Sus scrofa: one gene and its partner. The protein of the gene in region 1 interacts with the protein of each later gene in a biochemical or structural test. Links are inferred from orthologs where the notes say so. Each region holds a gene or a part of one and is shown in the gene's direction. Other genes may lie near its edges.

Region 1 (5,169 bases):
CACTCTTTGAGTCTGTGTATTGTGAGAATTTTGTTATTTGTACTATGGAAGAATGTCATCATTTGGAGTAGTGTAATAGAACTTTCTGTGACAATGGAAATAGTCTATATCTACACTGTCCAATATGGTAGCCACTAGCCACATGTGGCTACTAACTGAGCCCTAGAAATGTGGCTAATGTGATTAAGAAAACTGAAATTTTCATTTTATTTAATTTTAGTTAAATTTAAATGTAGTCAATATTCACATGTGGCAAGTGGTCATCATATTGGACTGCACAATTCTGGAGAGAAAAAGGAAATCACTCAGCAGATATAATTGTTACATTCTGGCTTTTTTTATCCTTTTTAAATTTTAGTGGTATCAGCTCATGTCACTAAGGTGTGACCAGTTCACAAATGCTGCCACTGTTATTATTAGTCAGCAACATCTATTTTGGAAAAGATTTTTTTTTTTTTAAATAGTGCTTTCATCAGGAGAGTAACACCTTACATCAGAAATACAACCGAAATGTCTAATTCTGAACACTTGAATGAAAATGGGAAATATTACTCACAGTGCTTTTTATTCAGAGTCATGCACTTAGCTACTCCAAAGGAGGCCAGAAGCCTAACACTTTCAGAGAGGCATCTGCTGGACTTGTTTTTCCACATAAACTGCCAAACTTGTTTTGATTAGGCAGGAAGTGAAGCAACTTTTTAGGGAGAGAGCCGGGCATCTGCATTTCGTCAGTGGATCCATTTTGACCTTTTACCTTTTACCTTCTTGGGAGCCTGGGCCGAGTTTTGCTTTTCAATTTAGAAGAGCAGGATGGCCACATTTTTTTTTTCTTACAGTGTGGTTTCCTTAGAGTCCAAACCCAAAGTTTTATTTTTTTACATCAGTGCACCTGTCTTGATTTTCCAAATAACTTACATTACCTTAAAACAAGGAAAAAAAAATTTTGGGGCTGTGCCCTTGGCATGGGATAGGGACAGAGCCACAGCAATGACAATGCCAGATCCTTAACTTGCTGTGCCACTCTGAGAACTCCCCAAATAAGATTTTATTTATTGTGCACATTTCTTCGTATAGAGGACTCTAAAACAAATAAATGTACTGAGTTGAATTTGATGAATCCTGCCTGATAAGTATTTGTAACCTATTTTTCAAAAAAAAGCCTTTTAAAAGCTAGTGATGAGAGAGGAGTTTCCATCTCTTTATTAGAGTTGTTGGAAATGTGCCAAAGAGATAACCTGGCGTATATTTCCCTCAAAAATCATGTTTTATTCTTTAACATGAACATCTTATACCCTCGGAATTCGGGGAATTGTTGAGCTGAAAAACCTGGGGTACAGTGCCCTGTGTTGCCAGCCTCTAGGCAAGACAGCAAAAACTTCGGGGTTTCCCGGGTTCTTCCTTTCGGAAGAGAACCGAGGAGGGGGCGCTGCAAAAGTCTCCAAAAAGCATTCTTACAGGATCTCTAATGGGAGAACCTGCTGACTAACTCGCCACCCCACACTTACCGCTGCAAGCAAACTTGCAGCGCTTCCCTCGCACGCGCGGGGCGGGAGCGGGACCTGAGGCCCTGTGCATGCCGCGGAGCGAACCATCCGGCCGGCCGGAGAGGGGGGAGGTTCGGACGTGGGGGGCGCGGTAAGCTGGGGCCTCGGTGTCTGCCTGTTGCCTCCACCCTCTTCCGTCCCTGGCGGGGAGTCGCGCGAGCCCGAACCCTCGGTGGGGACTTGAGGGGCGCGGCGCTGGCAAGCCTTCCCCCGGGCCGCGCGGGGGTGGTAGCGGCCCTTTTCAGAGTTTCCCGGGCCGGCGGCCGGCGCAGAGGCGCTGCCTGCGGCCGGGGGCGGGCGGACGCCGCAGCCGCCGCGGCCGCGGGAGGAGGGACAAAGGGGTGGGTCCCCGTGGGGCCGTCACCCAGGCAAAACGCGGCTGACGGACTGAGAACTGACCTGCCGCCCGGAGTATCAGGAGGAGCGGGGCTCGGGACTGGTGCGTCCATGAGAGACCCGCGCCCGAAAATGCCGGTGCGAGGAGATCGCGGGTTTCCACCCAGGCGGGAGATGTCAAGTTGGCTCCATGTAAGTGCCGTCTGGCGTCCCGCTCGGTTGGGAGAAGGGTCGCGAGGAGAGAGCTTAGGAGCGCGTGGTGGGCTTCCCGGATGCGCTGTAGGTGGCTGGGATTCTTCCATCCGGAGGTGGAGTTGAGGGCAGGGAGTAGGTTTCGCCGGCAGAGGTGCTGGGTCAGGGCCTCCAGGATTCCTGAATCTTTTTCTCTGTTCTATGAAGTCACTTGGTTTTCAGTCGCGAGTAGGGGAAACTCTCTTGAACTCTGTTTTGGATCCCTGCTACCTTTGAGGCATCTCGTTGAGCTTGTTATGTCGCCTGTTGTTTGCTTTTGAGTTTTCCTTCTTAGTTTCAAACCAGTTATTCTGTAATTGATGCAAAGTTAGAGCATGTGTGCATGAGACGAACTGACGACTCTTTGGAGATGGGAATCCTCATTTTCCCTTTCAATCTCTTTTAGTCGGCAGTATAAGTAAAAGTTATTTGTGGCAGGGAATGGAGATAGGGTTTTGGAGGACCCCCCAAAAAGGGAGTGATGAATACTTTGTATTCTGGTATTATCTTACCTGTCACCAGTTCCTTTTCTTTTATGTTTTCATTTGTCAAGTTTCTGCTTTACACAGTAGTTTAAGTTATAAATAATCAGGGTTTTGCCTACAGGGTTTTAACATTCTTGAAACGTGGATGAACTTGGGAGTGAATACTCCAGGGCTTAGTAATGGAATACAACCCTCCCACCTCTATTTTAGCTTCAATTCCGAGGCAGTGCTGCTTCCTTGGCAGCTGTCTGGCCTGAGTAATGGTTGTGGTTTTCCAGCAGTTCCCAGTGGAGTCTCATCCCGTGGTAGAAACTGCCCTCCCTTCTTCAGCTAGGGGAATCCCATCACAGAAGGAAAGCGGCCCTTTTCCTTCAGATCTTTAGATGGTCTGTGCTGGAGGTGCTGAAGGTCATGCTGGGAGAACAGGGTCATTTTTGTCAGGATTCTTCCTGGGAAAGACAGTCTACATGCATACGTGGGAAGCAGATGGTTTTCATTTTAATTGAGGAGTTAGTAGTAGTGATTGCTTTTGCGCCAAAGTGCCAATTATTATCCTGCCTAAAACAATGAAATTGGTTGTTTAATACATTTTTATGAGCACCTTCATCTCAGTGTGGAAAATAGAAATGTTAAGAGTGTGCTTCTACCAACCACACTGTCTTGTTGGGGAAACCTGTAAATGATGAAGACTGATAGTTCCAGTTAGAAATAGGGACAGGATGCTGGAGTTGCTTCTCTCTGGGGAGCTGAGAGAAAGGAGTGTTTTACTAAGGCAGTGGTGGCTTTTGAGTTGTATCTTGAGCTTTTTCAGAGCTACTGCCAAAGATTGATGAAGGGGGATCCCCCCCCCCAGAATGGCTGCTGCAACTTTTTTAGGACCGCGAAGTTAATAAATTAATGAGCACCCACCTGTGCCCGGCCACTGTTGGGGAGGTGGGGGTGTGAGGTGAGTAAGACTCAACTTCAAGAGTCTGTTTGATCTGAAAATTTTAGATGTTTTTTGGACTGCAGGCTCTCTCTGCTGTGGCTAAAGGAGGGAGTGTGCTGCACAGATGCACACTGTGCAGTACAAAAATACAACAAAGTGTGGGGTCTTCCTGTGCACACTCCCTTCAGGGATTCTTTTTTTTTTTTTGTCTTTTTGCCATTTCTAGGGCCGCTCCAGCGGCATATGGAGGTTCCCAGGCTAGGGGTCCAATCGGAGATGTAGCTGCCAGCCTACGCCTGAGCCACAGAAACACAGGAGCCAAGCCGTGTCTGCGACCTACACCACAGCTCATGGCAACGCCGGATTGTTAACCCACTGAGCAAGGGCAGGGATCGAACCCACAACCTCATGGTACCTAGTCAGATTCGTTAACCACTGCGCTGTGACGGGAACTCCCCTTCAGGGATTCTTATTAGGAAGAAAGTTCAGGAGTTCCCGTCCTGGACCAGTGGAAATGAATCCGACTAGGAACCATGAGGTTGCAGGTTCAATCCCTGGCCTCGCTCAGTGGGTTAAAGATCCGGAGTTGCTGTGAGCTGTGGTGTAGGTTGCAGATGCAGCACAGATCTGGAGTTGCTTTGGCTGTGTAGGCCGGCAGCTACAGCTCTGATTAGACCCCTACCTAGCCTGGGAACCTCTAGACGCCATGGGTGTGGCCCTAAAAAGACAAAAAAAAAAAAAAAAGTTCACTATTTGAACAGATACCTCACAGGGTAAGCCAATATAGAAGATGAGGTTAACAACACACCTCACAGAGTTGAATGAGGATTGAGTGAAATGACGTAGGGAGCTTGGCCTGTAGTGGGTGCTAAGTAAACAGTAGCTGGTACAGTCATCCCACGGTGTCCTGGGGCAGGGGAGGTTCCAAGATTCCTCTAGGATACCAGAAACCTAGGATACTTAAGTTCTTTATCTAAAATGGCATAGTGGCAGTTCCTCTCGTAGCTCAGCAGAAGCGAATCTTACTAGCATCCATGAGGATGAAGGTTTGATCCCTGGCCTCACTCAGTGGGTTAAGGATCTGACATTGCCATGGGCTGTGGTGTGGGTCGCAGATGCAGCTCAAATCTGGCGTTGCAGTGGTTGTGGTGTAGGCCAGTGGCTACAGCTCTGGTTAGACCCCTAGCCTGGGAACCTCCATATGCTTCATATAACCTACCTACTCATATTCTCCTGTAGTCTTTAAATCATCTCTAGATTACTTACAATACCTAATACCATGTAAATGTTATGTAAATAGATGTAAATACACCGTAAATGCTATGTAAATTTGCTTGTGTGCAGCAAATTCATGTTTTGCTTTTTGGAACTTCTGGGGATTTCTTTTCCCCTTGATCTATATAATTGGCCCAATCCTTGGATAAGGAGGGCCAATTTAATATGAAAACAGGAGCTGAAAACTCTTTTAAGTGTTGGGTCCCGGCTTACTAAGGGAAGTGGGTTTTGCAAGGACGGATAGAAGGTGCCAGGTAGGGTCGGGGCAGCTGCTGAGGGAAAGAGCAGAAGTTGCTCACACTAAAACAGGCCTTGGATGCCAGTAAGAGAACTTTGAGAAAAGGAAAAAAAGCCACAGAAAGCCCTAATA
Region 2 (5,173 bases), on another chromosome or scaffold:
AGAGAGTTTGACAGGTTCTCTGGGGTCTGATCGCCCTTTGTTTTTCGCCAGGCAGGGCTCTAGAGACTCTGGAGCTGGAGACTATGGAGCCATAATCACTTCGTCTCTGGGGGTGGGGTTCAGGGGCCTGCTTGGTTTAATATTCCATTGCTGCTATCTTAAAATTGTTAGCAATTTTTGGAGTTCCCATTGTGGCACAGTGGGTTCAGAATTCAACTGCAGCAGCTTGGGTCACTGCAGAGGTGCAGTGTGTTCAAGGATCCTGTGTTGCCACAGCTTCGGTATAGGTCACAGCTGTGACTCAGGCTGCATTCTTGGCCTGGGAGATTTGACAAGCTGTGAGTGTGGGCATCAAATGAAAAAAAAAAAAAAAAAAACAAAAAACTGAAAACCTGTTAGTAATTTTTCAACAAGGGGCATCATAAATTGAGTAGCTGGTACTTGAGTGAAGAGATGAGTATACAAAATTATGGAGCATAATCCTTTAACTATGTCTTTTGTTAGTTCAAACAAGTATTTATTGATTGAATACTATGTTCTAAGGTAGCTAAGTGTAGCTGGAGGAAGCCACAGCCACTCCATGTAGGGGAGACCACAGGAGCAAAAGCTCTGAAGATGGAAACAGCATGGACTGTGGCTGGACAAGAATGGCCTCATTAAGGTTACAGTGGGCACTTGCACCTACAGAGAGTAACTGGGCCCCGCCTAGGGGATGAGCCTTGTGCTGGGTGCTGTAGGAGATACAGCTGCTGCCCTCCAGGAGTTTGCATTTCCTGGGAAAGGGAGATTTGAGTAGAAAAAGGTAAACATGCTGAGGGCAGGTCTCCCTAGCACCCTGTTCAGAGCTCAGCCCAAAACGAACAGTGGATACTGCTGTCATGCATAATTTTGGACTTAATAGACCAGTGCAGAAATCAACTCGTTCGTCATCCCATGATGGAGAAGGAAGTCATACCAGACTGAGAGTGTAGTATTTTTGGTTTTGTTTTGTGGTTTTTGGGGGGAGCGTTCAGTAGAAAGATAAGGAAGGAAGAGTGGGAATGAAATTCCCTAAATGGCCAGAGGGATAGGGATAGAAGCCAGGTCCTTCAAATGTGCGTGTGTGGGGAGGGGGACAATCTCAGGAGGTGATGCTCCTGTCACAAGCCTCTTGTTCTCCATCAGGAAGGCTGTTGGGTTTACCCATCTGTCAAGCGACCGGCTGAGTTGGGTGATTGCTAGGAGGCTTTCCCATCGCACATTATGAGGTCCCTGGAATTGGATTCGAGTTGCACTCTGCCTCAAGGTGTGAGGCTTCAGTTTTTCCTTCCGTAAAGCCAGGGAATGGGCCTGGAGCTCTTTTCTGGAAGCCTGTGCCCCGGGAACACCTGTGGCACTCGGAAGTCTGCGCCGCCGGGCCGCCGGGTCCCAGGGGCATCAGCGGGAGGTGGGGCCAGAGCGGGCGGTGCCCGGAGACTCACCTGTGCGCCGCGCGCTGACTCACCTGCCCTCCCCAGCTGGCGGGCTGTTCCAGGCACCCGCGCTCCTCCCTCCGCTCGGGGGTGGGGGTCTCTCCCGGCCAGAGTGCCCACTAGGGGCTTGGCAAGAAGAACCTCGAGGGTCAGGGGCAGAGAGCAAGAGGGCCTCTGGGGGGTCCGGGCCTGGCGGACCAGGCGCTCCGGGTCAGGGGCCACCCTGGCCAGCGGGGTGGCAGCGGGAGGCGCCGGGAAGAGCGCGCCGGAGGGAGGTGCCGGGAAGGGCGGGCGGGGCCCGGGACGCGGGGCGGGGGCGCCGGGCGGCCCATTTCCTCCCTGGAGCCGGACAGGGGCAGACAAAGCGGCGGCCGTTGGCTTCGGGCCTCGGGAATCTTCCTGCCTCGCCTCGCTCGCCGCAGGTAATTGCCTTCGCGCGGGTGTGGGCGCCCCTCGCTGGGCAGGGGGCTCCTCGGGCGGGCGGCCCGGGCGGTCCCCTTTGCGACCCCGCCTGGCCTCGGGCTCCGGGTGGGCGCCGCTGCGGCCTCCGGCCCGCTCTCGCCGCGGGGCCCCGGGCCTGGGCCCTGGTGGAGCGGGCGGGGCCGGCGCTTACTGGCGCTCGGGAAGTTGAGGGCCCGCGGCGGCCGGAGCAGCGCGAGCGGCAGGCCCCGCGCCGCCGCGGCGCCTGCTCTCGGGAAAGTTTCTCCGGGCTTGGAAACTTTGTTCGAGTAGCCTCGGTGCGCGCGCCAGGCCCGCGCTGAGCCCGCTCGGCCGCCTTCCTCGAGGGCAAGAGTCCGTGCGTGGTTCCGCGGGCGGGCGGGCGGCGGCGTTGCGTTTTCCGGGGAAGCGAGTGAGGTCTGTGGTTTCTGGCATCGCACCCCTCCCCCCGCCACCGAAACTTGCCGGTCAGGTGGACGGGGCGGCTGCTGGGCCCGCACCCTCGCGTTCCCGGCCCGAGCGCATGTGCGAGTTTGCGTGTCCCTTTCTCGGACACAGTCTGGCTGGGAAGGGGCGCCACACCCGTGTGGACTTTTGGCGTGTACATGTGAACCTTTGTTGTGAAATTCCTCGGACTTCTGTGCTGTGTAATTGGACGCCCTGAACTCTAATTAGTTCTGGTTTGCACGAGGGACGTTGGAATCTTTTTTTTGTTGATTTCTAAAGGGGTGTGTTTGTGTGGGAGAGGGAGAGAGAGAGAGAAAGGGAGAGAGAGAGAGGGAGAAACACTTGTTGGAAAAAATGTTGTCTGAATGCCTACTAACCTTGGTGTGGCAGGAATGGCTTCCCAATAATGCAGGCGGCAGTTGGCTCCAATCCAGGACTGAAACCCTATTATGTCCCTCTGCGTCTTTGCAACATTTTTTGGTGTTTGCTTTGTACAGAATTTACAATAATCTAGAAAAGAGTAAGGTATGTTCACTCTCTAGATTATTAAGGCGTTTCTTATGTGTGTTGAAGGAAGTGATTACATCACTGTATTGTTGCAACAGGATAGGCATTTCCATGGGAGGATCGTATGTTTAGCAGTGATTTTTGAAGATTGTATAGGTGTGTGTCACTTTAGGAAAGTGTGGATTTGTAAATCACCTTAGTGAGGATGTGGTACTTTAATCCATAGCTTTTGTCCAGTGATTTACTCTTTCTGACTTTTATCAAATTACAAAAATCATTTTTATCCACTTTCTTAAGGGCCCACAGTTGATTAAGAAATAGTCTCTGCCCCAAGAACCCACCGTGTAATAGGGAAGGGACACACAGCTTGGGTGTAGTGCAAGGCCGATGGCGATATGAACCACAACAGTAATGACCAAAAACTTGTGCGTGGGTCACACCTTACGTAATAATAATGATAAGAGAAACTCGTGGAATTGTGCAGGGGGATCTAGTAAGTTTTGTTTGGATAAGACCAGAGGGCTTCCAGGAGGGGACGGGCATTTGAACTGGTTAGAGCAGCAGTGGGGTTTTGTCGGGAAGAAGCATGAAAGGGCATAAAGGCGTTTGTGGAATTGGATTATAAATCTCTCCTGGTTTTCCTTATACTTTTGGCTCTTGTTTCTTAATCTTTCTGTTGTTGTTCAAACCACTTATATCCAAGATTCTAACGTATCTCAGCCCTTCACACCACTGATGTGGCATCATTCTCCCACCACCAGTCACATCTTTTTCCAGGGGTGACCTAGAGATCGGGGTGCCCTCTCCCGGGTTGAGGATCACTTCTGTACAGTCTCCCTGTCATCAAATGTAAGCTGAAGTCCAACACTTTGTGGGCTAAAGCTAAAGCTTCTATTTTGAGTGCAGATGTCTTAGCTCACCCACATGGTCAGCTGTGCATCAGAGATCTCCTTCAGTGTCCAGGGGCTTCGCAAACTCTGCAGGACCAAAATGAGATAAGTGACCTAACCTAGATATGGAGATGGGCAGTAACTGGCAGAGTTGAGGGATTTCTGAAAAGGAACAATAGTTAGTGACGGGACAGGCAGACCTGGATATTGGGGGTGGTGGTGGAGAGTCCTCTGATCTTAAAGGTCCTGAGATAGCAAAAAACTCCTTGTGTTTAGAGACCTAAGAGAAGGTTCGTGTAGCTTGGATGCATGCTTTGGGGGTAGGAAGGAGCCCTGGCATGAGATTGCCAGGGAACTCCAGGTCACGTGCCTGGATTTTATTCTAAGAGCTGTGAGAAGCCATTGTAGGAAGTTTCAAGATCTGATTTCCTTTTTAGGAAGATCACTCCTGCTGGTGCCTGCAAGGCTTGTGTTTGTGCACTAGTAGAAGTAGGAGGTTGATCCAGGAGGATGGTAGGAGTGAGGTGGTGGGGCTAAAGGGAGCTGTACTTTGGAGAAACGAGATAAGCCTTAGGGAAGGATTGGATGCAGCGGCCTAGGCCCTAGGCGGGTCTGTTGGTTTGTTGTTTCCTCATTGCTGCTCCTCCTCTGCTCCCACACCCAGTTTGGATTCCATCACTTACATGAGCTTTTAGTCATATCTCAAGTCCCCCTTAGCACTTTTCTGTCTGGTAGCAAACCTCTTCTCACCAGGTACATGGCACTTGATCTTATTACTGATATGCCTGTTGGCCTTTCTTGATAGAAGGTGAGCCTTGAAGGCTGATAGCCTTAGCCTTTGGCGTGTACCTGGCCTGGAGATGTTTAAAAAAAAAATAGAAGCATGTTGAATGAAGGATAAAAAGAGTCTTTTTTCTTCTGGAGTCTGGTTTATGAGTGGAACTCTGACAGATGAGAGGACAGTCAGATAGTGGAGGGCCTGGAATACTGGACCAAGAGACATCTCCAAGCCTTTCTTTAAACCTAGATCTGATCAGATGAAGTCCTTTCCTTCCTCTCTCCTCTTAGCATGAATTCCTTTTTGCCCTTCTCTCTGCTTCCACAGTAGTTTATTTATCAGTATTATTATTTTTGCTTTTTTTTTTTTTTTTTTTTTTTTTTTTTTAGGGCTACACCTATGGCATATGGAGGTTCCCAGGCTAGTGGTCTAATCAGAGCTGCAGCTGCCAGCCTATGCCATAGGCACAGCAATGCGGGATCCGAGCTATGTCTGCCACCTACACCAGAGCTCAGAGCAACGCCAGATCCTTAACCCACTGAGTGAGGCCAGGAATCGAACCCGCAACCTCATGGTTCCTGGTTGGGTTCGTTTCTGCTGTGCCATGGTGGGAACTCCTTCCATGGTAGTTTAGATTATCTTCTTTGAATTATTGAAATAAC

The links.
Region 2: the proteins of TJP2 (region 1) and CTNNA1 form a complex in vitro, tested with the Homo sapiens proteins (2 studies listed by BioGRID and IntAct, with this or other methods). The link is inferred for Sus scrofa from reciprocal best matches to the Homo sapiens genes TJP2 and CTNNA1.

What each region holds. Positions count from the first base shown.
Region 1 is NC_010443.5:222,522,935-222,528,103, forward strand, and holds the start of TJP2 (tight junction protein ZO-2), read left to right. Parts: upstream 1-1,817; 5' UTR 1,818-1,991; coding exon 1,992-2,072; intron 2,073-5,169. UniProt on the Homo sapiens protein: Plays a role in tight junctions and adherens junctions. Acts as a positive regulator of RANKL-induced osteoclast differentiation, potentially via mediating downstream transcriptional activity.
Region 2 is NC_010444.4:140,681,048-140,686,220, forward strand, and holds the start of CTNNA1 (catenin alpha-1), read left to right. Parts: upstream 1-1,728; 5' UTR 1,729-1,873; intron 1,874-5,173. UniProt on the Homo sapiens protein: Associates with the cytoplasmic domain of a variety of cadherins. The association of catenins to cadherins produces a complex which is linked to the actin filament network, and which seems to be of primary importance for cadherins cell-adhesion properties.